Cricetulus griseus: one gene and its partners. The protein of the gene in region 2 purifies or fractionates together with the protein of the main gene of each other region. This does not show direct contact. Links are inferred from orthologs where the notes say so. Each region holds a gene or a part of one and is shown on either strand. Other genes may lie near its edges.

What was found.
Region 1: the proteins of Polr3h (region 2) and DNA-directed RNA polymerase III subunit RPC10 purify together in Homo sapiens (affinity purification with mass spectrometry; 3 studies listed by BioGRID and IntAct, with this or other methods). This does not show direct contact. The link is inferred for Cricetulus griseus from reciprocal best matches to the Homo sapiens genes POLR3H and POLR3K.
Region 3: the proteins of Polr3h (region 2) and Polr3g purify together in Homo sapiens (affinity purification with mass spectrometry; 5 studies listed by BioGRID and IntAct, with this or other methods). This does not show direct contact. The link is inferred for Cricetulus griseus from reciprocal best matches to the Homo sapiens genes POLR3H and POLR3G.
Region 4: the proteins of Polr3h (region 2) and Polr2e purify together in Homo sapiens (affinity purification with mass spectrometry; 6 studies listed by BioGRID and IntAct, counting the BioPlex papers as one, with this or other methods). This does not show direct contact. The link is inferred for Cricetulus griseus from reciprocal best matches to the Homo sapiens genes POLR3H and POLR2E.
Region 5: the proteins of Polr3h (region 2) and Polr3f purify together in Homo sapiens (affinity purification with mass spectrometry; 4 studies listed by BioGRID and IntAct, with this or other methods). This does not show direct contact. The link is inferred for Cricetulus griseus from reciprocal best matches to the Homo sapiens genes POLR3H and POLR3F.
Region 6: the proteins of Polr3h (region 2) and Polr3e purify together in Homo sapiens (affinity purification with mass spectrometry; 9 studies listed by BioGRID and IntAct, counting the BioPlex papers as one, with this or other methods). This does not show direct contact. The link is inferred for Cricetulus griseus from reciprocal best matches to the Homo sapiens genes POLR3H and POLR3E.
Region 7: the proteins of Polr3h (region 2) and protein POLR1D purify together in Homo sapiens (affinity purification with mass spectrometry; 6 studies listed by BioGRID and IntAct, with this or other methods). This does not show direct contact. The link is inferred for Cricetulus griseus from reciprocal best matches to the Homo sapiens genes POLR3H and POLR1D.

Annotation. Positions count from the first base shown.
Region 1 is NC_048599.1:60,488-64,726, forward strand, and holds the start of DNA-directed RNA polymerase III subunit RPC10, read right to left. Parts: upstream 2,801-4,239; 5' UTR 2,721-2,800; coding exon 2,610-2,720; intron 1,183-2,609; coding exon 1,095-1,182; intron 1-1,094. UniProt on the Homo sapiens protein: Core component of RNA polymerase III (Pol III) which synthesizes small non-coding RNAs using the four ribonucleoside triphosphates as substrates. Can mediate Pol I proofreading of the nascent RNA transcript.
Region 2 is NC_048595.1:379,057,081-379,060,580, reverse strand, and holds part of Polr3h (DNA-directed RNA polymerase III subunit RPC8), read left to right. Parts: intron 1-2,304; coding exon 2,305-2,391; intron 2,392-2,827; coding exon 2,828-2,891; intron 2,892-3,500.
Region 3 is NC_048595.1:302,134,360-302,137,859, reverse strand, and holds part of Polr3g (DNA-directed RNA polymerase III subunit RPC7), read left to right. Parts: intron 1-1,827; coding exon 1,828-1,980; intron 1,981-3,500. UniProt on the Homo sapiens protein: DNA-dependent RNA polymerase catalyzes the transcription of DNA into RNA using the four ribonucleoside triphosphates as substrates.
Region 4 is NC_048598.1:100,836,432-100,840,589, forward strand, and holds the start of Polr2e (DNA-directed RNA polymerases I, II, and III subunit RPABC1), read right to left. Parts: upstream 2,801-4,158; 5' UTR 2,699-2,800; coding exon 2,642-2,698; intron 1,028-2,641; coding exon 829-1,027; intron 1-828. UniProt on the Homo sapiens protein: DNA-dependent RNA polymerase catalyzes the transcription of DNA into RNA using the four ribonucleoside triphosphates as substrates.
Region 5 is NC_048599.1:34,454,945-34,459,210, reverse strand, and holds the end of Polr3f (DNA-directed RNA polymerase III subunit RPC6), read left to right. Parts: intron 1-24; coding exon 25-216; intron 217-1,639; coding exon 1,640-1,717; 3' UTR 1,718-3,766; downstream 3,767-4,266. UniProt on the Homo sapiens protein: DNA-dependent RNA polymerase catalyzes the transcription of DNA into RNA using the four ribonucleoside triphosphates as substrates.
Region 6 is NC_048596.1:79,735,656-79,739,945, forward strand, and holds the start of Polr3e (DNA-directed RNA polymerase III subunit RPC5), read right to left. Parts: upstream 2,801-4,290; 5' UTR 2,642-2,800; intron 1-2,641. UniProt on the Homo sapiens protein: DNA-dependent RNA polymerase catalyzes the transcription of DNA into RNA using the four ribonucleoside triphosphates as substrates.
Region 7 is NC_048597.1:82,928,628-82,932,578, reverse strand, and holds the start of protein POLR1D, read right to left. Parts: upstream 2,801-3,951; 5' UTR 2,700-2,800; coding exon 2,674-2,699; intron 1,870-2,673; coding exon of another isoform or gene 1,494-1,869; exon of another isoform or gene 1,314-1,493; intron 1-1,313. Other genes in the region: Polr1d (DNA-directed RNA polymerases I and III subunit RPAC2), read right to left, coding at 1,494-1,869, 2,674-2,699.

The DNA of each region.
Region 1 (4,239 bases), on a different chromosome or scaffold from region 2:
CTACACAGCAAGATTCTATCTCAAAAATAAGCAAAAGCCTTGAAAGTGGAAAATGAGTAGAGGCTTTTGTTTTATTTTGAGATAGGGGATGGAATGAGGAGATGGGGGGGGGAATGAAGGACAGGATGGAGAGGGAATTGGGATTGGTATGTAAAATAAGATTTTTTTATTGTTTTTAATTTAATAAACATTTTTAAAAATAAAAAAAGACTAGGGCTAATCATTTTTACAATATTGGTATTTGAAAATACATACAACAGAATTCTCTTGAGAAGCCTGTACCCACTAGAGCATGGACAACTGTCCTTTTACACCTCTCGCCTCCTCTCAACAACCATCAATATTTAAGTTTAAATCAACATTGAAACTTTTTTGTAATAAACCCCAAATTTGTTTCAAGAAGAGAATATGTACCAGATTTTTACTTATACTTGCCCATATCTGTCCTGAGAATCTAAATGAAACAACAGAGCAGGTATCAATATGGTGATTTTCCTTTCAGTATATTTAATCCTTGAAAGAAATCTGCTTTAAAAAAATTTAATATGGCCAGGTGGTGGTGCACATGCCTTTAAACCTATCACATGGCAGGCAGGCAAATGGATCTCTGAGTTCGAGGCCAGCATGGTCTACAGAGAGAGTTCCAGGACACCCAGGGCTACACAGAGAAACCCTGTCTCAAAACACAAAATCAAACAAACAAAAAGGTCTTAATGCCTTGCTTAGAGTTTAAAGAATGACTATATTGTGACTACAACATATCAAAATATTTCCTGTATTGGCAAACACAAGCTATTTGTCATTATTGTTTATATTTTCTTAAATTCTTTTATAACTACTGGTTGAGGGGGTGGGAGTTGGTAAACAACTTTTCATGAATCAGCTGTCTCCTTATACTATCTGGGCTCCAAGTATCAAACTCAGGTTAACAGGTTTGGAAACAAGTGCTTTTACCTGCTGAGCCATCTTACTGGTCCTAACAATATACAGGGTTGCATTATAATAAATAACAATAAATTTATTATTATTAAGTATAATAATAAGTAATAATAAATAGGGTTGAGTCACTGGCTCTGTAATGGGAAAATTCTCACCTGCAGTAGAGTCCACATTCTCCCAGGCAGCTGCTCCACCAAGCACATCATCCACTTCTTTCAGCTTTGGATACTTTCGGTTTGTTACCTAACAAAAACAAGTCATCAGATTTTAAGAAATCATATAGTTTTAAAAGCAGGCCACCAAACTATAACTTTCCTCCAGCATTTCCTCTACTCAGTAAATGGATACAAAATTTATCTTCTTCAAAGAGCGACAAGAGCCATTAAAATGTAGGGGTTTTGTGACTGAGATATTCCCAAAACAGCACAGTTTCAATGTCAGAGACCCCTAGAAACTGGAGGAAACAGCAGACAGTGCAGGAAGACAGCTGAGTTAAACCATGCTCTTCTCTCATACCCCTAATAACCCAACATGAAAGACAGACAAAAGCCTAATAGCACCATTTATCTGGGTATCCCAGCATTCCCAGGGACACATTTCGTTGCTTTAGTCATCCTTCAATTTTCAAAAATTATGTCACCATTCAATCTTATCACATATCCAGACTCCAAACTCCTACCATACAGCTCTTAAGTGCAAACATTAAAAATGAGGTATCACCAAGGCCTGATGATACACATCTGAAATCACAGAACTCAGGACACTGAGTTAAGGAGGAACAAGAATGGAAAGGTAGACAATACAAAGGGCTGTAAAAGCAGCTTCTCTGGGTTCCAACACAAGCACCACACACACAAAGCAGCAACAATGACATATATTAGAAGACGATGAATCCTGGGAAAAGAAAAAGGAATGAGAATAAACTGGAAGAGCTGGGTTTGGTTTCTTCGTTTACTTAATTTTCATATACATATGCTATGCAGCCCAGGTGAGCCTTGAACTTAATCTCCTGCCACAGCCTCTCCACGTGATGGAATTATAGGCATGTACCAACAGCCAAAAGGGAGAGGGAGAGGGAGAGAGATAAAGGAAAAGGAAGAGAGAAACAGACAGACATACCCACACCGAGGGAGGGAGGGAGGGAGGAGAGAGAGAGAGAGAGAGAGAGAGAGAGAGAGAGAGAGAGAGAGAGAGAGAGAGAGAGAGAGCGCCAAATGGCTCGTTGGGAAAGAAAACTCGGGCGAAAGGAACGTGAAGGAGCTAACAGTACTGCGTGCACTTTTGGAGGTAAGATCCTCCAGAATAGCGACAGGATCTGGGAGCAAGAAGAGCCACAAAAAGAACATTAAGATTTGAGATCAGAGAAGGTGATAAGCGTATTGGAGCCTGGCGTGCGGAGGACAGCTGTAGGTTTTAAAGGCGTGGTTCAGCCTAGAGGTAAAACGGAAATCTCGCAACCTTTTGGGTGTCACAAAACCGGCAGCAGAGAGCCAGAGGCAGAAATCTCTGAAGTGACCAGAAGAGTGGCTTCGATTTGGCCGGAGCGATGCCACTGGATTACCAACTACTGAACTTGAGGTACTTCCACAGGTGAGCAAAAAAAAAAACTACCGCCCGCAGGAAGTCTGAGCGCACCGACAGTGGAGGAGGCGCTCGCCTCTGGGACTCACCTTGCGTGTGATATTATGCACGTAGGGGCAAGTGTTGCAGGCGAAACGATGGCAACGCTGTCCCTCCTCCACAATTAGTCCGTTTCCACAGCTCGGACAGAAAAGCAACATTGCTGCAGATCCAACAAGTAAGCTCTTACTGTCTAAAGCTTCCGCGGCCGCAGACGCCCAATAGAAGCGGCCACTGGCACGTACCCAGAAGGCACTGCGGCAGGCAGCTCTCACATGCCATTGGTCAACGCAGATAGTCCTTCCCACCCTCCAATAGTGCGCTGTCTGCCTTCCCAGCTTTCCTGTAATGCCTGCGCGTGCGCACGGATCTCCCTGACGCAAGCACAGGCTTAAATGGCCCGAGAGATGGGGCTGGCAGCTGACACGCCTGACCTACCCGGGAATAAGGTTCGGAGGGAGGTACAGGTGATGAGAAGACAGTGCCGCACTCCGAGCCATGGACGTGTTCAGGAAGGTCTTGTCACAGTGGCGCAGGACCGGCTGCTTCGCATCTTCTGAGCCGGGACTGACAGGCAGAGACTAACCTAATGTCCCAGGGACTTTAATTCAGCCCCTAGTGTTGATACTACCTCTCTGCTGCTGTCTGCCTAACGTATGAATACCTGTCTATCTGTACTTACCATCTTTCCAATCTGACCATTTCTTCACCTGGTCCCAGTTCTGCCATTTCACTTATTTCACTTATGCCATTTCACTAGATTCAATTCTACAGATCAACTCTGACCTACAATACCAGCAGTTCCTCTCCACAGACCTCCATCTGGTTCTTTTGTCTCATTCCTATAGACTCCTTTACGTTTCCCAGTTCTGCCTTCTCAGACCTCTTTTAAATGTCTTACCTCCTTAATCCTCTGCAAGAATTCTATAACCTACACAGGGAGGGGTTGGGGTGACTCCTGTGGGTTTTTTGTTTTTGTTTTGTTTTATTAACTTTAACAAGTTAGTTATCTAGAAGAGGAATCCCAATTGGGAAAATGTCTCTATCAGACTTATAAGTAGGTAACTCAATGGGGCATTTTCTTGAATGCAAATTGATAGAAGTGGACGCAGCCCGTTGTGGGCGGTGCCACCACTAAGCCGAAGGTCATGCGTGAAATAGGAAAGCACTACGAAGGGGCTAAATGGTTCAGCTTAAGAGCACTTGGCCTTCTCCTGTAATTGGTGACTGCGCTAATTGTCACCAGAGAGCATTCATCCAGTAACTGATGGAAGCAGATGCAGAGATCCACAGTCAGGGAGGAGGAATTGTACGAGTAAGAGGGAGTCAAGATCGTAACTTGGGGAACCCAGAAACAGCTGACCTGAGATAGTGGGAGCTAGGGAGCCTGCATCAGACCGATTTAGGCCCACTGCATGTGGGTGACAGTTGTTTAGCTTGCCCTGTTTGTGAAGCCCCTAGTAGTGGGATCAGGACCTGTCCCTGGCGCATGAGCTGGCTTTTTGGAACCTGTTCCCGATGCTGGGATGCCTCACCCAGCCTTGATGCAGGGAGAGAAGCTTGGTCCTGCCTCAACTTAATATATCATGCTTTGTTGACGCCCATGGGAAGTTCGCGGCTTTCTGAACCAAGGAGTGGTGGATGGGAGGTGGGAGGAGCGGGAAGAGAGGAAGGAGGGGA
Region 2 (3,500 bases):
TGCTCACCCTGGGTCTCTTGTTTCATTGTGAAGATGTGTAAGTACTGAGCACTGGGTTAAGTACATCCCACAGATCTGTGTTTCAGTTCTAGTTTTGGCCCCTGGGATGGGGGCCTGGGTAGCTATTTTATTTGTCATACAGTGGGAAGTCCTTTGAGGGCCATGAGCACTGTAAGAGCATCCGGCCATGTCACAACCTCTGCTGCATGCAGGTTGAGGTCAGAAGTACAGTGTGTTCTCTCCTTTCAGCATTTGGGTCCTGGTGATGAAACTCTAGTGGTCAGACTTGGTGACAAGTCCTTTTATCCACTGAGCCATTTTGGAGTACCTGACCACTTCAGTGCCTCATGTGAGTGGAAAAGGGATTTGTTCTTTTCCAAGAGTTGTGTGGAGTACGTATCCTGGAATACATCTGTGCCGGCTAACTAAGAACAAGTGATTACCTTCCCACTCCACCCACTTAACCTCATGCCCCTGCCAGGGCAGGGGTGGGGGTGGCATGATGTTCTGAGGATGGAAACCCAGAGCCTCATGCCAACTTAGGTGTTCCGCCAGTATGTCACTTTTGTTTGTTTGTTTGTTTTGTTTTTTAATTTATTCAACTTTATTTTATCGGTAATGGTGTAAAGGTGCCAGGTGCCCTGGAACTGAAGTAATAGACAGTTGTGCAGTTTGAGCTGCCTTGTGGGTGCTGGGAAAGGAACCTGCATCTTCTGGAAGACCAGTCATTGCTTTTAACCACTGAGTCATCTGTCCAGCCCCTGTGCCACATCTTCTAGCCGTTGGTTGTTTTTTAAGACAGGGTTTCTCTGCATAGCCCTGACTGTCCTGGAGCTCACCCTGTATATCATGCGGGCCTTGAAGTCACAGAGATCTGCTTCCAGGGTGCTGGGATTAAAGGTGTATGCCACCATGTCCAGCTTCAGCCTTCCTTTTTGAGGCTGATTAATGTATTGTGTGTGTACACTGAGCTTTTGTTCATTCATTAGTCAGTGGAGATGGGCTGCTCACCACTTACCTTTAGATGTAGTGTTCAGGCCCTGGGCACTAGCTTACACGCTGTTTGTCCTGCCCGCTAGGCCCATGCCAAATGAAGCCTGGCAGAAGCTTTTAGCTGAACGCTAGGTCATGTGGAGGGCAGTGTTTTTCCATCCGTGGGTAAGTGGCCCATGTCTGCTCCTGGCTGTATTCTGGAAAGTTAGCAGAAGACGAAGTCATCTTCAGGATGTTTGTCATCTTACGGGGTAGTGTGCAGGAAGACAGGTAGACAGAGCTGGGCAAGGGAGGACACTGAAGGAGTCCTGGTAAAAACCTGTGCTAGGATTGAGCCTGTCTGAAGAAAGACTTTAGAGCCGTGGTTCTCAACCTGTGGTTCATGACCCCTTTGGGTGGCATATCAAATATCCCGTATAATCAGGCATTTACATTGCAATTCACAACGCAAGTAGCAAAATTACAGTTATGATGAAGTAGCAACAAAAATAATTTTATGGTTGGGGGTCACTACAACATGAGCATTAGGAAGGTTGAGAATCACTGGCCTAAAGGCTTCCCGTTGCAGAATGGGCAGGAAAGCTGTGTGGTTGGAATAGGTCACCCAGCCTCTCTGAACTATCTCTTCCTCTGTTTGGTGGAAACATGGCATCTGGCACAGGCGGTTCATACAGGCAGTTGGCTAATGGCAGAGGGCATCTTCCTGTTTGAGAGGGTCAGTGACAGGTGTGGCATCTGCTAAGGCCAGTAGTCATTCTGATGTGAATACAGCTTTAGCCACTTGGGTTCAAGTGAGTGGGGAGCACATAGGACAAGGCCTGAGAACCCAGGAAGGCTTTCCCCACGTGTCTTCCATCACCACAGGCAGCCTTGTCATTTTAGTTTTCTATCCCAGGTCAGCTCTGTGCTGAGGGTAAGCTTGCCCAGGCGTCAACAGATGGGGACTTCCAAGTCTGGCCAGTTGCTGCTGTCTTTTTAGAATGCAAAGGACAGCCTGGAGGGACTTTGGAATTGACTTTGGAGTCACCAATGGCCCAGAATTGAGGCTCAGGTGTGATGGAGATTATTTGGAAACCAGCCTTAGTCCAGGGCAGCAGCTGCTGCCCGTCCCTTTGGAGACCAAGCTGTGACCTTGCAGAAATGAGGGAGGGTCGGTTCTCTGGCTTGGCAGACAGGTCCAGACCTTGGCATGGACCATTGGGTAAGTGTACTGGCAGTGAAGTTGACGTTGGTGAACATGATCAGCCCCAAGTTCCATGGCTGTCATGGAGGGTCTGGTGTACCTGACAACAGTATTCCCTTCTTTTCCAGTCCATTTCCGATATGTGGTGTTTCACCCATTCCTGGATGAGATTCTCATCGGGAAGATCAAAGGCTGCAGCCCAGAGGGTGTGCATGGTAAAAGGGGTGACTTCTGGGGTGAGACTAGAACACAGGGTGGGCAGTGTATCCAGCTGAATCTTCCCTATGGCATCAGAGAAACTGCCCAGCTAAAGGGCCAAGCAAGGGGTGCCCCATCCCTCATGCATGGAGTAAGAGCCTCATTCAACCGTCACTCTAAGGACACAGCTTAGGATCTGAGGATGGGTACTGAGCTGGCTGGTGGAGGAGACAGGCTCGCAGTGCCTATGGGTCCCTGGGTGTGCAGTGAGCACTCTGGATACTTGGAGCTTTGCCCAGGGTTGCTCAGTGCATGTTGGTAGTATAGTTAGATGTGGGGCTTTGAGGCAGGAGGGGACAGATTACAGGCTTGCTTTGCAGTGTCCAGCCATCTCTTCTGGGTTGTTCCTTTGAAGTCCCCATCCCATGCCTTCATGTTCTTCATTTCTTCCAGTCTCTTTAGGGTTCTTCGATGACATTCTCATCCCCCCTGAGTCACTGCAACAGCCTGCCAAGTTGTATCCTTTCAAGGTTAATGTGCCACCATCACCTTTCTGGGGCTGTTTTAATGGGACTGTCACTGGTCATGGTCTTGGGAGAGAGGCTCAGATGGCCTGTCACAATTGAACTTAATCATAGCTCCCAGCAGTAGCATGACATGGAGAATGCAGTGTGCCACTAGAGGGCAGTATGGCTATGTAGGCTATGGGGGAAGAGCAGAGCTCAGCCTCTGCTTGTGCCCAGGCCTGTGTGGGCAGAGGTAGGGTTTAAATGAGACTCTGACTTGTCAGCAAATCTGGCCTTGCCTTATGTTCCTCAGGCAGGTGACATTCAAACCTACCTCATCTTCTGGAGACCAGGGCAAGCCCATGATCTACCCGTCTGTCACATTAGTTATGAGGCTTGAATGAGAAGTGTGGGGTCCCTGGTCATTCAAATTTCCAGACTTGGGAATGTCATTCTCACTTTGGGTCCTGGCAAAAACTAGCTCCTCTCCAAGGAACAGGAGCAGCTTTTACTGGGACTTCCCAGCCAAAATAGGCTCAAACTGAGTTGGTTTTAACTTGGGTTAGTACTTAAGAGGACCCTCAGCCTCATGAACTCCCTAAGCATGATTATGGCCTTGA
Region 3 (3,500 bases), about 77 Mb from region 2:
TATTTGTTTTTGTTTTTAATAAAACTATTTAGTTTATAATTATGAAATAATTAGTGGCTGTCTTTCCAGATCACAGAATATATTTTTCACAGAGTAAAATAAATTATATAATTGAATTTAGCTATAGGCCTTGTTACTTACGATTTAGTTAAATTAGAAAATGCACAATACCTTATATTAATTAATATTAATGTAGCATCGTGAGTGTGTCAGATATATCAAAGGTTTGTGAAAATTTTGTTCACTTGAGATTTTCCAAGAAAATTGACAGTTGAGAAATTGTACACAAGGTATTGCTGTAATAACTGCCAAGGCAACACAAGGTTTGATTTTAATTTGGTCTGCTTGAGTGAGGTGAGTTGCAAGCAAGATAGCTTGATTTATTTAAAAATTGAGTATTATGTGCTTAAGAGGTGGCTCAATAGATAAAGCATTCACTGTGCAACCATAACAACTGCAGCTCCAAGCCCCAGCATGCACACAACGTCAGGTGAGCCTGTAGCTACCTATAATCCCAGCACCTGGGAAACAGAGAGAAGGGATCCCGAAGGCAAGCAACGGGCTGCCAAAACTAGCCAGAACCCGTTTTACTAAATTAAATGGAGAGTGACTGAGGAAGATATCCAATGTCAGCTTCCAGTCTTCACATGCATGTCTACACACACGAACATATTAATGCACACCCGTGCATTCACACATATACAAACATTCAAAGGTGATCCATTTAAATTGGGTCTGTTTAATGTGGCCTTTTCTTTGCCTTTGATTTTCTTCACTTAAAATTGGAATTAAAATAATTTTTTGTTTGTTTTGTTTCGGTTTTGGTTTTTCAAGACAGGGTTTCTCAGTGTAGCTTTGGAGCCTGTCGTGGAACTCACTCTGTAGACCAGGCTAGCCTCAAACTCACATAGATCTGCCTGCCTCTGCATCCCAAGTGCTGGGATTTTAAAAGAATTTTTAAAGTAAATATTTAGGGAGTTAAAGAAGAGCTAAGTTGAAGTTATTCTGGATGTAAAATAGCTTTTCTTGTTCATGAGTAATTGACAAAGTCTTAAAGAGAGATGGAGAATGCCTACACATTTTTATTAGTTACTCTTCTAATTACTGGGTTAAGACCAATCAGAAATTAGTCATGTGAAGCCTAAATTATGAAGATGCAAAATGATTATTGTACCCAGCTCCCAGAAAACCTGTGAAATTCTGTCCCTTATGTAAAGTGAGGGTCATCTAACTTAGTGAACTGAGAGCAACAGAAATAAAAATGGGTCACCTTTGTCAATTGAAAAAAAAAAATGGCAGTCATGAGGTGTTTATAAAATTCAAATTGTGAGGTTGTGGCATGGTGAGTTTTCAAGTATCAATAGAATCATCAAGACTCCCCAACTCTGTTTCTCTTCCTTATTTCTAGGATGGCTCATAATGGCTGGTGTGTTCACTTACTTTCGTTTTAATCCCCTTTTCACAACCTTCCAGATGTATCACGAAGCAGAAAATCTTGGGAATGGGAAGTAATGAAAGACAAAGGAGATGGGAAGGGGATAAACTAAATCATGCCACACATTTTAGGAGGAGGTAGGATAGGAAACATGAAAAGCAAGCATTGTAGATTAGAATTCTAACCCCAGGTTAGCAAAGCCCAATGATTAAGTCACAAAATTGAAGAATGGGACAGCATGGTGGGTGACCTTTCCTTGAGTTTCTGAGGTGGGAGGCTGGCGGGCGTGTGTTAATTTAGGATTAGCCTAAAATGATCCATAATTCTTCTCTTTGGGCTGGGTATGTAAGAATAGTTGTTTCAGTGGAAATTAATGAATCTCCCTTTACCAGGAACTAGAAAAGAGAGGCGATGGTGAAAAATCGGATGAAGAGAATGAAGAGAAAGAAGGGAGCAAAAAGAAAAATAAAGATGGCGATGACGATGATGATGATGACAATGATGAAGCAGAGCAAGAGGAGTACGATGAAGAGGAACAAGAGGAGGTAAAAGTCTGAGGATGATGAGAGCTGCTCCCTAACTTCAGAGATATCCTATGGCATGGAATGTCAGTCAGCATACAAAACCACGCCTGTAATACTAGCAAACTCAAGAATAGGGTGCGAGGGGTTTGAGGAGCTGGGGCTACAAGGTGAGACCTTGTCACAAACACAAAACCCTAAGTTTATTGAACCAAAAATGCATTCTTATCCTGGCATCAGGTGCTTGGTATGAAATGATAGTAATACAAAATGAAAACCAGCAGATAAGAGTAACTTGATTGACAGCTTTTGCAAGTAAGGAATTAAGGAAATTGATGAGAGTAGTACAGTTCATACTTACCAACATAAGAAGCTAAGACAGCAGCTGAGGTACCAAAGGGCATAGGCACATACGTCTAGAAGGAAATCCCAACAAGGCCATCATGTCTCAAATTCCCAAGTTCATGTGGACAGAAGCAGTGTGACAGCTGCCGAGGTATTGGTAAACTAGGTTGCTTCACTTCAATTTTAGAATCAATATTTTTTCTATTTTTTTCACCTTTTTGTGATGTCTATAGTTCTCTTTCTACTGTTTTGTATATCTGCATTTAACATATTTAATCTCTTGTTGATCTCGTTCTTTGCTTTACAGAAGCTTCTCAGTTTTCAGAGGTCCATTTATTAATTGTTGCTCTCAGAGTCTGTGCGACTGCTGTTCTCTTTAGGAAGTGGTCTCCTGTGCCTATGCGTTCATGTGTATTTCCCACTTTCTCTTCTATGAGGTTCAGTGTGGATGGATTTATATTGAGGACTTTGACCCATTTGGATTTGAGCTTTGTTCGTAGCGATAAATACGGATCTTGCGTTCTTCTACCCATTGACAGCCAGTTATACAACACCATTTGTTCAATCTATTTTCTTTTTTCCATTTTATATTTTTAGCTTCTTTGTCAAAAATTAGGTGTTCATAGGTGTGTGGGTTGATATTGGGGTTTTCGATTCAATTCCTTTTGTCTACCTGTCTATTTTTATGCCAATACCAAGCTTTTCATTTTCATTACTATAGCTCTATAGTAGAGCTTGAAATCAGGGATAGTGATGCCCCCAGATGATCCTTTATTGTACAGGGTTGTTTTGGCTATCCTGGGTTTTTGTTTTTCCATATGAAGTTGAGTATTGTTCTTTCAAGGTCTGTGAAGATTTATGCTGGGATTTTAATGGGGGTTGCATTGAATCTGCAGATTACTTTTGGTAGGATTGCCATTTTTACTGTGTTGATCCTACCTATCCAAGAACATGGGAGATCTTTCCATTTTCTGATATCTTCTTTAATTTCTTTCTTTAAAGACTTGAAGTTCCTGTCATACAGGTCTTTCACTTAGTTGGTTAGAGTTACACCAAGGTATTTTGTTATTTATGGCTATTGTAAAGGAGATGTTTCTGATATCCTTCTCAGCCCATTTGTCATCTGTATATAGGAAAGCTACTGATTTTTTTTTAGTTAATCCTGTATCCTGTTACATTATGGAAGGTTTTTATCAGTT
Region 4 (4,158 bases), on a different chromosome or scaffold from region 2:
AAACTGCTGGATCTCAGACTCAACACTCCCAGTATATTTTTTCTTTTTGAGACAGGGACTTCTTGCATCAGTGTTCTCAACCCATTGGTCCTGACCCTTTGAGACCATAGGAAAACATGAGTATTTACATTATGACTCCAAACAGCAAAATTACAGATAGGAATGTTAGGGTTGGGGGTCACCACAACGTGAGGAACTGTTTTTATAAAGGGTCACAGCATTAGGAAGGTTGAGAACCACTGCTCTACATAGCTGTCCTAGCACTCACTGTATAGACCAGGCTGTTCTTGACCACCTGCCTCGTCTGTGTCTGCCAGGTTCTGGGGTTATGGGCATATGATGCCACGCCTATCCCTGCACCCCTAATTCTCACAGGCCCCAGGACCTCAAAGGTATTGAAGGCAACAGACTGTCTGGGGAGACCAGGAGGCAGCTGCACAAGAAGGGCTCAGGCTCTTTAATAGCACCCCTCCCACTTTCAGAAGTGCCTGGGCTGTAAGGCAGAAACTACACAACACAGCAGATGGGAGCCAGAGGGCCCAAGAGCTGGTGCTGGGACTCAAGGGGCAGAGAATGGACACCAACCAAACAAGGGAAGGTTTCCAGGGGAGGCAGGGACAAAAGCAGGCTGGCGACTACAGTAGTCCTGCAGGCAAGGCTGGGCCTGGGTGGTACCCACCCTCACTGGCTGGACAGAGAGCAGGAAGACCACAGAGGGAGGGCTGTGACATGTTACCTTAACTGGCACCTGAGCCAGGGACTGGGGAATGCCACCAGAATTATGGGACCCCAGAATCAGGCCTCTGTTACTGGTCCAAGGGGCCTCACCTGGGAAGAACACAAACATCTGGTCTGTGGGATCATCGTTGTGGGCCACCAGCACTGTCAGGTCTGTGCGCCTGGGTCTTCCTTCACTGGGTTTGTCCCCAAACTGAGCCTTGAACTCCTCAAGTGTCTGGTCCAGCTCATCCTGGGTCACCAGGTAGCCACGGTCATGACACAGCTGCAGAGACAAAGAATCACCTGTCTTTAGAGAGGAAATGAACACTCAGCATGAACTCCGGGACTACAGTGCCAGACCTATCCCTGAACAGCCTGGGCTGCTCGGGGATAGCATGAGGAGGAGCACTTAAGTGACCCAGCAGTACTGGCCAAGCCACAGTCTGGTCCCCAACCAGGCCCCACCCCACCCCAGCCTCACTGGGCAGGCTAGGGTAGATCCCCTGGCAACTTCCACCTCTCAGTGCCCCCACCCACTCTTCCTGTTTGGTCTTAGGCGTGATGAGGGAAGAGTAGAGTGTAATCCAGCATCGGGTTGAGGGGCAGGCCTGAGAGACCAGGCCCTGGGGTCCACCCAACGCAAAAATTAAAACTATGCAGGCCTCTTTCTCAACTGGGGTCTGGTCTGTCTCTTCCCTCTTCGTCTCCTTCTTTTTGTCTTTTGTTGTTCAGAGACAGGGTTTCTCTGTGTAGCCCTGATGTCCTAGAACTCCCTCTGTAGAACAGGTTGGTCTTGAACTCACAGAGATCCGCCTGCCTCAGCCCTCTGAGTGCTGGGATTAAAGGTGTGGACCACCACTTCCCAGCCAACCTAAGTTTCTTGGGACAGGGTCTCACAATGAAGCCCTGAGTGACTTCAAACTTTCAAATAGGCCAGGCTGGTCTTGAACTCAAGAGACTGACTGGCCTCGGGCCCAAGAGTGATGGGATGAAAGGTATGTGCTACCAGATTAGTATTTTTACCTTTTCTTTATTTTGGTTTCTTAAGACAAGGCTTCTCTACAAAGCCCTGACTGTCCTGGAACTCGCTAATGTAGATCAGGCTAGCTTCGAACTTACAGAGATCACCTGCCTGTGCCTCCCCAGTGCTGTCGTTAAAGGCTTCTCTCTGTCACTACGCCGGGGCAAAACTGTTTTTTGTTTTTTTCAAATATTGTTTTTCACTCTGTGTGAAACAGTCGAGAAAAGTGCGTCAGACCCGCTCAAACCAGGGTTACAGATGGTTGTGAGCTGCCGTGTGGATGCTGGGGCCTGGGCTAAGTGGGTGGAGGGCTGCCCCGCAGGCAGAGAACCCAGAGTCTCTCCCTCCGGCCCCCCATAAACACGGTGTGAGCACGCAGAGAACCCCGAGTCTCTCCCTCCGGCTCCCATAAGCGCGGTGTGAGCGCGCAGAGAACCCCGAGTTTCTCCCTCCAGCCCCCCATAAGCGCGGTGTGAGCGCGCAGAGAACCCCGAGTCTCTCCCTCCGGCCCCCATAAGCGCGATGTGAGCGCGCAGAGAACCCCGAGTCTCTCCCTCCAGCCCCCCATAAGCGCGGTGTGAGCGCGCAGAGAACCCCGAGTTTCCCTCCTCCGGCCCCCATAAGCGCGGTGTGAGCACGCAGAGAACCCAGAGTCTCTCCCTCCGGCCCCCCATAAACACGGTGTGAGCACGCAGAGAACCCCGAGTCTCTCCCTCCGGCCCCCATAAACGCGGTGTGAGCGCGCAGAGAACCCAGAGTTTCCCTCCTCCGGTCCCCATAAGCGCGGTGTGAGCGCGCAGAGAACCCCGAGTCTCTCCCTCCGGCCCCCATAAGCGCGGTGTGAGCGCGCAGCAGCCCTCCCGAGGCAGGGTGCGGGCTGGAGGCCGGCCGGTCACTCGCCTGCATGATGGTCTTGCGGATCTTCCACAGCCGGTAGGTCTCCTCCTCGTCGTCCATGCTGCCGCCGTCGCCCGGGAACCGCTGCGCCTGCGCCGAAGCCGAAAAGAGCTCCTCCCACTCCTGCGCACGCAAAGCGTCTGCGCGGAACAACGGAAAGCCCTCCCCTTCCCGCTCAGCGAGCTCTGTTCTGTCTTCCGCCTGGAAACGCGACTTCCACCTTAGGCTGCGTAGCGGGCAGCCCCGGCGATCCGCTGCGCGAGACCACCATCGAGAAAATGTCGCGATACTTGGCCGTCACAGCTTAAGAGTTCTCGAGAGGGAACTGGGCGCGTAGGCCACGCCTTTAACGCCGCCCTGGGGAGCCAGAGGCAGGCGGATCTCTGAGAGTTCGAGACCAGCCGGGTGTGCAGAGCGACAGGACCGCCAGGGCTGTTATACAGAGGAACCCTGACTCAAAAAACAAAACAACAACAAAAAGAAATGTCTATGTATCTTTTTCCTCTTTGGGGGGTGGGGTGGTTCACTGTGAGCCCTGGCCGGCCTGAAATTTGATATATAAACCAGGTTGTCTCAGTCTAGAATTAAAGGCGTGTACCAGCATGGCCAGCACTGGAAAACCAGATGCTCGCCATACCTCCCATTCTGTCCCGCCCGAGCTTGTCCTCAGAGTCCGCAGGTCATCTCTAATTCCTGCCTGGGAACCTGTGCTGACCCTGACTTGGAAAGGCAAGTTTCCAGCAAACTAGCGAGGCCCCCACCAAGTCTGTCTGACCACTGAACCCACTGCATGGGCTGCAAAACTGGGCTGCGCCTGGGACACCCTGGTTATAGAAGCCACAAACGCAGAGTAAGGGGATAGAGACACAATACGTTTTTGGAAAAACATATCTAGATCTGGGAGCAATGGTGGGTGCATTTGGTCCCAGCACTCTGGTGGGCAAATCTCTCTCTCTGAGCTCCTGACCAGACCCTGGGGGTTTTTGTGGGGTTTGTTTTGGTTTTTGGTATGGGGAGGAGCCCTTGTCATTAACTTTCAGGTGACAACAACCCTCTCATTCTTTCGGTGGTTGGTTTTGTTTTGTTTTGAGACAGGGTTTCACTGTGTAGCTCTGGCTATCCCAGAACTTGTCTGTAGACCACACTGATCTCTAACTCACAGAGATCTGACCATCTGACTGCCTCTGTCTCCTGAGTACCGGGATTAAAGTCCTGAACCACTACTTTCAGACAACTCTCTCATTCTCGGTGGTAATGAATGGGCAGAGCCTGAGTACCTGGGACATTAGGAAAATAATTGGTGCCACTGAGGGGAGTCAGTCCAAAGTGTAAGGATACATGCAAGTGCCTGTCTGTAGGAGTCCCTCCTCTGATCTTACCTCCTGTGGTGGTTTGAAAGGAGGCAGCCTCCAAAGGAATTGTTGAGAGGTGTGACTTTGTTGGAGTAGGTGTGGCCTTGTTGGGGGAAGTGTGTCACCATGGGGGCATGCTTTGAGGTCTCTTGTATCCTTGGGAGGCCT
Region 5 (4,266 bases), on a different chromosome or scaffold from region 2:
GCTTTCTAACGTCCCCGTCTCTAGGTAGAGTTGTCTATGGAGGACATAGAAACCATCCTGAACACACTCATTTATGATGGGAAAGTGGAGATGACGATCATTGCTGCAAAGGAAGGCACTGTCGGCAGTGTAGATGGACACATGAAACTGTACAGGGCAGTCAACCCAATCCTCCCACCTACAGGCTTAGTCCGGGCACCCTGTGGACTCTGCCCCGTAAGTAAAAGCTGCTTCATTTTGTACTTTTATCACCACCATGTGCAAATGCCACATAAAGAAACAACAGGCACACCAGGCTTCCCACCAGCAAGTGTCACCTGAGCTATTCAAACTGCCACAGACTCTTGATAGACAGATTGTTAATGAACAGGTCTTACATTATTTCTTGGAGCATTCAGGGTAGGGACATGTCCTTCTGTTCTTGACCCTGAAATGGATACATTTTCATCGGGACTAACCATTTCTTCTCTGTAGGGAGGGAAATGAAATTTGTTCAAAAGCTGCCACGAGCCAAACTTATTCTAATCCTTCTGTGCCCAGGGCACTAGTGGTGTTATTTCCCCTAAGGAGTGAGAGAACTTAGGGCTGAGTGTAACTCAGTGGCAGAGCACATGCTTAGTATACACATGGCCTTTCGCCCCAGGTTTTAACCCCTAGTGCCCTCCCCCCAGAACAGAAGGAACTTAGACTTAAGCAGAAAGTATCACTTTGAATAAGTATAATTTTTTTTCCATTATGCTTTAGCACTTTCACTCATTCATTCCTAGGTAGTTCGTAAACACGGTGCTGGACATCCTGAGGCTACAGAGAGCAAAAGCACTCCCTATCCCTGTGGCATTTATATTCTTGGGCTGCTATTCTGACATATTCATTATGATAACCCTTGTCTGTACCTATAAGCTCTCTGTGACCCAGTTTCAACTCCTAAACAAAAGCCAACATCCTGTACATCCTACTTTACACCCTGTAAAGATAGTTAAGCATAAAACAACCTTCAATTTAGTACAAATTAAGTTGTTCATAAGTATAGGACTCACTTTCTTCACTCCTATGAACCAGCTGATAGCCTTTTACCAGTGGGCAGGTGAATGGGATCACCTTTATGATGTGTTAATAGGCCTCCAAGCTAGGCAGGATAGTGTACACCTTTAATCCCAGCACTTGTTAGGCAGAGCTTTGTGAGTTTCAGACCTGCCTGTTCTACATAGGGAGTTCTAGGACAGCTGGGACTATATAGTGAGACACTGTCTCAAAAAAAACAAAAACAAGCTAAAAACAAAAAGCTTATAAAAAGTTGACTATGATCACAAGGTAGGCACTGTTATATTGTGCTCCTAAATACAGTCCTAATCCAATTCAAATAGTGTTTTCTTTTTTTCTTGTGTTAGTACTGCTTTAAATCAATGGGGGTTTAGGTATTTTAAAACTTCAATTTGAAGCCGGTGGTAGTGGCGGCGCAGGCCTTTAATCCCAGCTCTTGGGAGGCAGAGGCAGGTGGATCTTTGTGAGTTCGAGGCCAGCCTGGTCTACAGAAGGAGTACCAGGACAGCCTCCAAAGCTACAGAGAAACCCTGTCTCGAAAAACAAAACAAAAAAGCTTCAATTTGAATGTGAACTTTTTTTTGTGTTTCTTTTTAAGGTTTTTGATGACTGCCATGAAGGTGGTGAGATTTCACCATCTAATTGTATTTACATGACAGAGTGGCTCGAATTTTAATAGAGAGCTGTGAATTTTACTTACATTTGGCAAATGAATTACTTGGAGAGCAAATAATTCATGATAGAACATCCAGTTTCTTTGAAAGCATACTTCTCTATGATGGATACTGACTTGCTGCTATGAAAACGTATTTATTTCCGAAGACAGAACACAAAGCAGATGAAGTTTAATAAAGTTTAATAGGGAAGTCTCTTCAAGAAAATACCTTGAAGCTCTGGAAAAGAAGCCAGCAAACCTACACTGACCAAGTACTGCGATAACAGATAGAGCGTGAAGGTGACATGTAAAGTTACTTGTTAATGTCTTCATTGAAACTCATCATATCAGGTTTATTATCACCATTTCTGTTGGTTCGTTCTTGGGTTTCATTGAGAGGAACAGCTGACGATGGGATGTGTGCAGACTTGGGGCCTGAATGTAAAGTGGACATCCGTTTTCCACACTGTCCATTCCTCTTCACTTCAGCAGCACTGTTTCAGGAGAGCATGCTGCCACACTGACTTTGTGTCCAGGACAGGAGTTTAGATCAGTGGTAGTCCATCCTAAAGGGGATAATCTCCCAACTCCTTTGTTGTTAAGGTTGTAAATCTCTCTGTATGGCTTAACTGTACTACTTGCCAGAATTTTTTCCAGATTCTTACTTCATGCCTATAGTTTGACCCTCTCTGCCATCAGCATCAAATTCAAATTTTGTAATCTAATCCCCATGTGCGATGTGATAAGTAGGACCTTTGGAAGGTGACAGATCGTGAGTGTAGAGTCCTCATGAGTGGAATTAGGGCCTGTATAGAAGACACCCAAAGTGTTCTGTTGGCTCTTTATCATTCCAGAGCACAGGGGAAAGAATAAGGATGTGGGCCCTTGTTAGACAGTAAATCTACCAGCACATTCGACTTCCCAGCTAGAAGCAGTTCTCAGTCTGTAGGTTGCAACCCCTTTGGGGTTTGAACAACCCTTTTAAGGGTTTGTCTGAGATCTTCAGAAAACAGACATTTACTTTACAGTTCATAACAGTAGCAACATTATAGTTACACAGTAGCAAAAAAAATAATTTTATGGTTGGGATGAGGACAACATGAGGAACTGTATTAAAGGGTCGCAGCATTACGAAAGTTGAAAACCAGTGATCTATTGTGTTCTATCAAAGCAGATAGAAGAGATAGTATCTAATATTTTAACTAAACTAAAACTAGCTGGGTATGATGGTGCACTCTTTTAATCCTAGTACTTGCGAGGCAGAGGTAGGTAGATCTTGGTTAATTTGAGACCCTTGGTTAATTTGGCCTACATAGTGAGTTCCAGGACAGCCAGGGCTATAGAGAAAGAGACCCTGTCTCAAAAAATAACAGTAGATCATTGCCCTTCGTTTTGAGGGGTGAGAACCTGTCTTTTACAGTATTTTAGATCGGTCTCCTTTTTTCTTCTTCTTTTCTAAAAACATGGAGTGCTGTGTCTAAGCAGAAAAAAAATCACTGTAGTTTGTTAGTCCCAGCACTGGGCACTGGAAAACACTAATTGTCGTGCTGTTACACAGAAGATAGCCATATGCCTTTTATGGATCTCAGTGGTTGATATTTGCTTTCCCTCTCCCTCTCCCTCTCCCTCTCCTCTTTTGAGACAAAGTTTTTCTGTATGGCCCTGGCTATCCTGAAACTTTAGACCATGTTGACCTTGAATTCAGAGATCCACCTGCCTCTGCCTCTGAGTGCTGGAATTAAAGGACTCTTCTACTATGTCTACTTTACTTTGTGTCTTAAAAGTTTCTTTATGTGAAACATGGGCCAACTGAAAGGGTTCACACTCCACCCTTGTATTCTGTCTTTTTGTTTTATTTTGTTGGAGAAGAGTCTTACTCTACACTGGAGTTCACTTTATGGTCTAGGCTGGCCTTGAACTTATGGTGGTTCTGCTTTAGCCTCCCAAGTGCTGGGATTACAGGCATTTAGCAGCCATGCCTGGCTTTCTATTATCTTGGTAATTAGATACTAAGTTTTAAATTTGCTGTGTCCCTTGCCTCACCAGAATAAAAAGGTACTTGAAAAGGTTTTCTTCATAGCATTTTTTTTTACTGGGTAGTTTTTGTAGCATATTATTTAATCTATTAACTGAAAGGGATAGATAAATATAACAAAATGTAGCAACTGTGCTGTAAATAAAATGAATTTGCCTACAGAAATAAGCTGTTATCCTTGGCCTCTAAAATCATGGTGCCACAAAGCAAAACTGCAGATGAAGTCCAGATACTTCAGTCTTTCTCAGTATTACGTATTTTGCTTACCTGAGAACATATACTCTAGTCTCTTTAAAAGTGGCCCATAAAAAGAAAATTAGACATTGCCAGTCATGGTGGTGCATGCCTTTAATTTCAGCACTTGGGAGACAGGCAGGTCCAGGCGGATCTCTTGAGTTCAAGGCCAGCCTGATCCTACAGAGAGAGTTCCAGGACAGCCAGGGATACACAGAGAAACCTGTCTCGGAAAAACAAAACAAATTGACATAAGTCCACTTAATGGTTTTTCATGGATTCTCACGTGAAACTCCCAATT
Region 6 (4,290 bases), on a different chromosome or scaffold from region 2:
GTGCATCTGCACTGGCTGCCAAGTGTCACAGATATGGGTCAAACAAGTACCTGCCCTTTAGGCAGCTGTACTTTGTGGCCAACTGAGACAGGACTTCAGGGGGAATCAATGAAACACAGCACATGCAAAAAGAGGCTGTGGCCTAAGAGAGTCTTCAGCTCTAGTTATTCTTTCACGGCTGAGATTCTGCCAGTCTTGGAATCAGGCAGGATCAGGTGCCCTCTCTGCAGGATGACAGAGGCTCCTCCCTCTGGGCACCACACCTGATTGGGTTACCTGCAAAGGTCATCACCTCTTGTTAGCCTCCCAACCAACAGGAGCCAATTCAGTGGCTTTCAAAGTTTCAGCCTATGACTGACAATAATCTTTTCCCAACAATGATGCAGAAGATACATGGAATGCCACAGCTGAAACAGTACTTCATGTAATATGATTGTTACATGCCACACAGTGATGTTTTCTATTTTCTATCCTTGCCTATGCAAAATAAAAATGCTGGTGGCAAGACCCCCAGGCCAAGTTTACATCACTCACTAATACATTTTTTGGTGGTGTTTTTTTATTTTCTGAGACAAGAGTTCTGTAACAGCTCTGGCTGGCCTTGAACTCACAGAGATCCTCCTGCCTCTGCCTCCCAAGTGCTGGGATTTAAGGCGTATATCACCACGGCCCAGCTCACTAAGTCTTAACCTGCAATCTTCAAAGTCAACAATCCAATAAGCCTCCTGAGTCAGCTGTGGTGGCCCAGGCCTGCGATACCAGCCCTAGGGAGGCTTAGGGAGGAAATTTAAGGCTTAGGAGAGAAATTTAAGGGCATCCTAGGCTATTATATAGCAAGGCCTCATCTGAAAAAAAAAAATAATAATAATAATAGACACAAAACAAACAAAAAAAGCTAAAAAAAAAAAAAAAAAAAAAAAAGCTTTCGTAGGGCCATTCTTTCCTATCTCTCCAGAGGACCTCCCGTCTCTGTAGTAACTACTCACATTGCTCTCTTCTTGAAACCCTTCAACTGTACCATAAAACAAAACCCAAACTCCCTTTCATGGGCCTGTAAGCCCTTACACGATCTTGCCAGGTTCCACATAACCATCTCCTCAGGGACTGGTAATCTATCACTGAGCCTCCAACAGGCCAATCCCCACGCATCCCGAGGACCTCTGCACAAGAATCCCAGGTCATTTTCAGGATGCTCATTTTCCTTAAATGTAAGCATTGCCCCTCCCTCCAGGACTAGACAGGTTTAGTGAAAACCCAATTTGAATAGCTGCCTCCAACTCTTTCCACCATTAACACAATCCCTTATTTCCTGAGTGGTCCTAACCTGGAACTTCTCTATTTGCTGCTCAGGTGTTGGCTATCCTCTGCACTAGACTTTGAACTCTACGAAGGCTTCTCTATGCTTCATATTCCTCAACCATCAAGTAGACATAATAATTATACTTCACCGTTGTTATAGGGTCATTACTTGTAAAATTAAAAAAAAAAAAATTCACAGCCCTTCTCCTAAACCCTAATGCTGTCTGGCATCAATATACTACCAAAAATATTCATTCTCATTAGCTGTGCAATTCAAAATTTATAGTGCCCAACTTATGATTTGCCCAAGGGCACAGCCCCAGGGAACAGTATAATCAAGAAATCCGTCTAGCAGGTGTCAATGAGTCTTGATTTTATTCTTAACCACTATGCTGCACACATCTTTGATAAAAGGCAGTATGGTGTAGTGGGTAAGAGGTCGGACTCCCGTGCGAAACCTTACAGGTTCAAATCCCACCTCTGCGCAACGTACCAGCTGACAGAAAGCATGAATTGCATAACCTTGGGTCCTTTCCTATTTTCATCCCTAAGCCGGCAATAAAAAAAAAAAAAAAGCACCGGCTTCAAAGAGAAAAGTGGAACATCCATGAATGAATGACTGTTGCTACGTGGCAACATGTTTTCTTCAAATAGGATGAAACGAAGACAGCCACAAATGAAAAGCAGGAGATGTCACCCATCTTACCCTCTTGTAACAGGAATCACGTTATCCCCATTTCGCAGATACCTTTTCGCTCCGAAACCCAGAAACCCTAAAGGCAATTACAACTGCAGGACGACCTGGTTTAAGCACCGCCACCCCCCGTGACTGAAGAGTCCCAGGGTCTGAGGAGCAGTCGCCTTTTGACTCTGCTTAAGCACAGATCAATCAATGAGGCGCCCCGGGCCCGGCACCACCAGCAAGGGTTGACCCGGTTCAGCTAGGACGCAGACCCCGGCCCATGCGGGCGGCCCTGACGTCCCATAGCTTTCTCCATGTCGCCGGTGCTCAGGCGCCCTTCCCACACCTCCGAGAGCCGCAAGCTACCGGGCACCAGTGCTCTCGCAGGTGCGGCTCCGGAGCCAGGCCCGGGCGGGGCAGCGCGGCCGAGGCCTGAGTCAGCGCGGGCCCCACGGTCGTCGCCTCCCCGACGTCCAGCCGTGCGGAGCGACCGGGAAAGCGAGGCGGCTGCCCGTGCGCCCCGCCCGGGTCCCGGGAGGCCGCGGCCCCTCAGCACGCAGCGGCGCGGGCCTCTCCGGCCTACTCCGCAGAGAGGCCCAGACCTCCGCGCGAGTGCGACGGCTGCGGCCGGAACCCCGGGGCTGCCGAGTCGGCACTCACCTCTCAGCCAGGGCCGCGCGCGAGCGGCGGCAACGGCCCAGGGACCCGCGGGCTGCAGAGACGGTGGCGGCCGGGTCTCCTATTAGGCAGCGGCCATGTTGCTGCTGGAGAAACTCCGGCGGACACGTGGGGGGAGCGGGGCCGGCCCTCGCGCTTCCTCTTACCCACAATGCCCCGCCCCAGAGCGCGCGGGCCCGCCCCTTCGGCGAGCTACTCGTGGTGCAGAGAACGAGAACCAACTGCAGAGGTCGCCGCTGGGGCGGCAAAAAGTAGCTCAGGGTTAAGGTAGGAAAAAACACTGATCCTGGCAGCGGTGGGATTCGAACCCACGCCCCCGAAGAGACTGGAGCCTTAATCCAGCGCCTTAGACCGCTCGGCCACGCTACCCAGCTGCTCATCTGGCCTTCTAAGAAGCTACTTAATGTTCTAACACATGCATACATTTTTTTTGTTTGTTTCTTATAATTTTTCGGGGGTTGTATTTGTGTTTTATCTACTCCTGATAGAAATTGTCACAAACAATATTGTTAAAACGCCAACTATTAAAATTAAATTATTTATATCCGAGCTTGTTCCAAATAAGCTTTAAAGCAAAAAGCAGTTTAAATCGCGTTCTGATGGTTAACGCGTCCAGTTAAACCACGCCGTCACCTACACAACCCGAATTAGGTGTCTTGGAGACTGATCCTGGCAGTAACTCTCACCCCAGCTCTGAGAAGCGAACCATGACCCCACATCTGCACAGTTCTGTCTGAAAAGTCACGTGTTTAAATTTTTAGTACGCAAACAATATTAAAACTTCGCATATAATCTTCGTAATATTCAACATAATAATTCTTTAACCTTTGACTTGCTTTAGTTTCCTCGTAACCACCATTATCGGCTGATTATACATCCTTTCGGATCTTTCGCTGTCGGTTTCTATGGATGTGTATCTCCATGGAAAAACAGTTTTGTTCATATTGTGTATGGGTTGGTATATAAATATTTATTAACATACTAACGCATAGAGAGCTGGCTAGTTTTTTCACCAGGCTTTTCATTTTTCTTTTGTTTTTACCATTTGTAAGTATCTATGCATGTTGATGTACACATACAGGCTTTTACATTTATTTTATTTATTTGTTTATAGGGGCGGCATGTTGTGGAGGTCAGAGTACAGACTTGCTGGAGTATATTCTCTCTTCCCACCATGTGGGGGCGGCTTAGATTGTCTGCCTTGCAGGCAAGTGTCTTTACTCGCTGAAACCAGCCCCATACGTTAAAAGACTGAAAAAGACACAGTGAAAAAAGTCACCCATATTCCCACCACCTAGAATTAAACTCATTCCTGCATATACTTTTGCACATACATATGTGTATTTGTGGTTTTGAGTTAAGGGCTCATTGGGCCCAGGCTGGCTTTGAACTTGTTATCTAGCTAAAGATGCATTTGAACTCCTGCGTCTCCTGGTCCCACATCCCAAGTACTGCTAGATGGCTCAGCAATTAGGGGTGCTTGCCGATAAGTCTGAGAACCTTGAGTCCAATCCCTGGAACACACAAGATAGGAGAATGAATCCCACAAATTGTTCTCTGACACACACACCCACACAACAAAGAAAGAAAGAAAGAAAGAGAGAGAGAGAGAGAGAGAGAGAGAGAGAGAG
Region 7 (3,951 bases), on a different chromosome or scaffold from region 2:
TGGGCTCTATTTACATACCTACCTAAGGAATGAAGATGTTACCTGATAAGTCATTTTTTTCCATTAAAATTGGGGCCAGGGAAACAACTCAGGTGGTAAAAAACTTGCTGTGAAAACACAAGGATGGAGTTCAGTCTCTAGAACCCATATAAAAGAGTTGGGTAGGATGATGTGTAGGTCTGTAATCCCCGGTGCTCAGGAGACAGACACAGGTGGGGCCCCTAGGGCTTTCTAGTCAGGTAGCCTAGTTAATTAACAAACTCCCTTCATCCCAGCATGTGGGAGATTATTAAGGCAGGGGCAAGTAAATCTTTGAGTTTACAAAGTGAGTTCCAAGCCAGCCAGATTGTCTCAAAACAAACAATAAGTAGGTGGTTCCTGATGAACCAACCATCCTTAAGGCTGATCTCTGGCCTCCATATGCATACAAGTGTCCACACGAACATGCCCACACAAAACAATAAAAAAGTATTCGGTTTACTCATCATAATTCTATATTTCATGAGTGCTCTGGAACTCAAGCAGTAAACTGGTTATCTATCCTACAAATACTACAAAGATGGACCTTGATGCCAATTCAAATTCTCATGAAGAAAGCAACAACAAAAAATTCTCATGAAAAGTTAAAATTCTCAAGAGTCCTTCTAATTATCCTCATCCTTACTAGGTCTACCAATCATATGAAAGGATGCATTTACATTAATAAAAATCCAGGGCTGGCAAGATGGCTCAGTGGGTAAAGATGCTTGCCACCAAGCCTGACAAACTCTAAATGGATCCCATATGATGGAGAGAATCAACTCCCACAAGTTGTCCCCCGACTTCCACCTGTGTCATGGCATGCTGGTACACACACACACACAAAGTAAATGGTTAAAAAAAAACTCAAGTCCCTCTGCCAATCTTTTCCTGCCTTTTTAAATACAGTCTACGGTTTATGTTTTATTCCATCTCCCCTTCCTCAGCACTCCAATCATACAGAAATGAATAGCCCTTTTAATATCCATGATCAAGCCGGGCATTGGTGGCGCACGCCTTTAATCCCAGCACTCAGGAGGCAGAGGCAGGCGGATCTCTGTGAGTTCGAGGCCAGCCTGGTCTCCAGAGGGAGTGCCAGGATAGGCTCCAAAGCTACACAGAGAAACCCTGTCTCGAAAAAAACAAAAACAAAACAGACAAACAAACAAACAAAAATCCATGATCAAAACCCTCAAATTGGCCCAATTATCCGTTCACTTTCTGTGTTGGTCCAAGTAAGGGGTGGCACCATCCTTGGGGATCACCTAGGTACAAGGAAGAGAAACCACTCAAACTAGTTTAAACAAAAGAGAGAATTTATTAGGCAAATATACTTGCAGAGATTCCAACAGCTGTAATGGGTCAACAGCTGGAACCACACCTTCCTATAAGACAGAACATGCTTCAATCACAAACTCTAGCTTTGGGATCTGCACCATCATGAGGGTGATCCTCCTTGTACCCTGCACGAGGGACTAGAAAGTGGGTTCATTTCTGCTTGCCTTTTGATCCTTATAATCCTTTATGCTGGCCTCAAACTTGTCAAGCACATGTTGGCAGACATTCATGAGCTCATTCAGGCCTTTCTGAAACGGTTCAACAGCTGGAAGGGTACCCCGTGTCTGAATTCGCAAATTAATTTTGCTCTCTGAAGGATGGGTCGTAGTGTAACCACAAAATTCCACTTCCGGGTTCTTCATGATCATGTACCGAAGAGAATTTCCTAGGGTATGGTCCTCCTCGTGCAGTACAAATGTCACACACTGTCTATCTGTTCCAGCTGCCTGGACCATTTCCAAGGCTGTCTTCCTCTCGCCTTCGGCCATTGAGGTCTTCAATCCTGACATTTTTCTACACACATATTTTTTTGTAAGAATGAGATCATATGGGATACCATTTTGTGATTAAGCTTTTTAAGATTCACCACCTCAGTTTCCTGCCTCCGATACTTCTATACATAAATATTTAACTCGAGTTTCTCTCTACTCCATTTGATATATTGCCCACAAGGGGAGTCATCTCAGAAAATAAACACAAATGTTTGCAAAATCTTTCTTTGAATAGAGAAAAAGAAAGGGGCAGAGTTATAATAGGGTAGGCCCTGCTGAAAGATGAAATGGGAGTTGACAGGCATAAAAAACACGATTACTTTAGCATAAAAATGGCAACCACAAGTTATTAAGGTGGCAGGCTCAGTTATGGCTTCCCTTTGAAAGAGGTAAGGAAACTAGTAAGTCAAAGGAAGTGAAAAGTTTAATAGGAGGAAGAATTTGGCGGTCAGAAAGAATTTACGAGCAGTCTGCAGAGCGGAGTTGCAGTAACTTTAGCCGACTTAACATGCCAGCACCGCCCGGTGCGTGACCTTACACGAGGCAGTTCTAATGGGGATGGCAGTTTGGCACTTAGAGCTGGATTCCCAACTTCTCTCCCCTCCAGGATGGCTAGTGTCCCTCTGAGCTTTTCTGTATAAACAAACCCACCACCGCTTCTCCTCCCTCTTCCCAACCCGCTCGGCTCTACTCTCGATCTTCCCTTGCCCAGCGCCTCGGGTCAGGCCTAGCCGCCCCGCCGGGCCGCAGTCGGCCGCGTGCCCGGTCGCTACCCGCTTCGCTGGCCCGGCCCGCCGCCCCCTCCACTCTTCCCCTCCAACCTTACCTCTCCAGCTCCTGATCCTCTTCCATCGCGAGGGGCGGCTCCAGGAAATCCTCAGGTGGTGCTGCCGAAAAGGACGCTCTTCCCCATATCGCGAAAGATGCGGGCGAAGCAGGAAGGAAGAAACCACCGACGGAAGAAGCGGATGACGGAAGGAGGGGGGCGGAGCCGCAGCGGCGCGGCAGGACCCGATGGAGGGGCGGGGCGAAAACAGAACACGCCCCAGCCACGCCCCGTGCGGGCCGGACCGCTCACCTGGAACTGCGGAAGCTAGGAGGCTACGGTGCAAGCAGTCCCTCGCCTGTCGCCCCCAGACACTGCTGTTTAGGGTCGGAGTTGAACCTCTCATCTGCTAGACCCACCAGGGACGGTACTGCCCCGGGACTGTCTTCCCCCCCCCGGACTGGAGTCCTTTGGAGCCTTTCGTAGGGCACCTTGCAACCTTGAAAAAGCAGAGAGACTTGTGTGCAGAGATGACTCTTCTGACCATACTGAGGTTTACAGGGAGCATTTTTCTCCCTGGGGTGCAAATGCACATCTCCATCAGGTGCAAGGCAGCGTTTGTCTTTCTTTTCGGAGAGAAGTATGAGTTTGGAGCACCGCCCTCCTTCCCCAGGAGCTCGGGTTTACCCACTGTGGACCTGCGGTTCCTTTCCCCTTTGATCCCAAGGAGCCGCCCTTCTCTTCCCCTCAGGTGCATCCTCCCAGTTCCCACCTGACCCTGGCCAGGCTGGGTCCCCGCCCCACCCCAGCTGTCCTCTAGCGCACACCTACACGTCAGCCACCCCGCACCACCTGTTCTCCCTCAGCCTGGTCCCGCAGCCCTCCCCTCCCTTCAGCTGTCCCACGGCCGGCGCGGCGCTCCGGGGTGCAAGCAGACACTTCCCGAGCGTCTTCTCTGTGTGTGTCTGAGAGAATCCGGCCGGGAGCGATGGCGGAGGGCGGAGCGTGCTCACTCTAACTCGGGAGTGATGAGCAGGGCCGGTCTGGCCCCTCGAGCTCCTTGATTGGCCGAAAGACTCAGAGCCCGCTCTTAGTCCCGCCTTTCTCCGCCGCTGATTGGCTCAGGTGCGTGTCGGGTTGGGCCCCTGCGCTCGCCCCCGAGGGGAAAGGCAGCAGGGGCGGTTGAGAAGTGAAGTCTTGGCCGGACTTTGCTTCTCGCCAGGAAATCGGCGGCGGTGAGTCCCGGCGGAGTGGAGCCGGGCGGCGTCCTCGTCAGCGCTCCTGCGAGGAGCCCGCCGCTTTCCCTGAGTGAGTTACTTCGCCTCAGGTGCGGGCGGT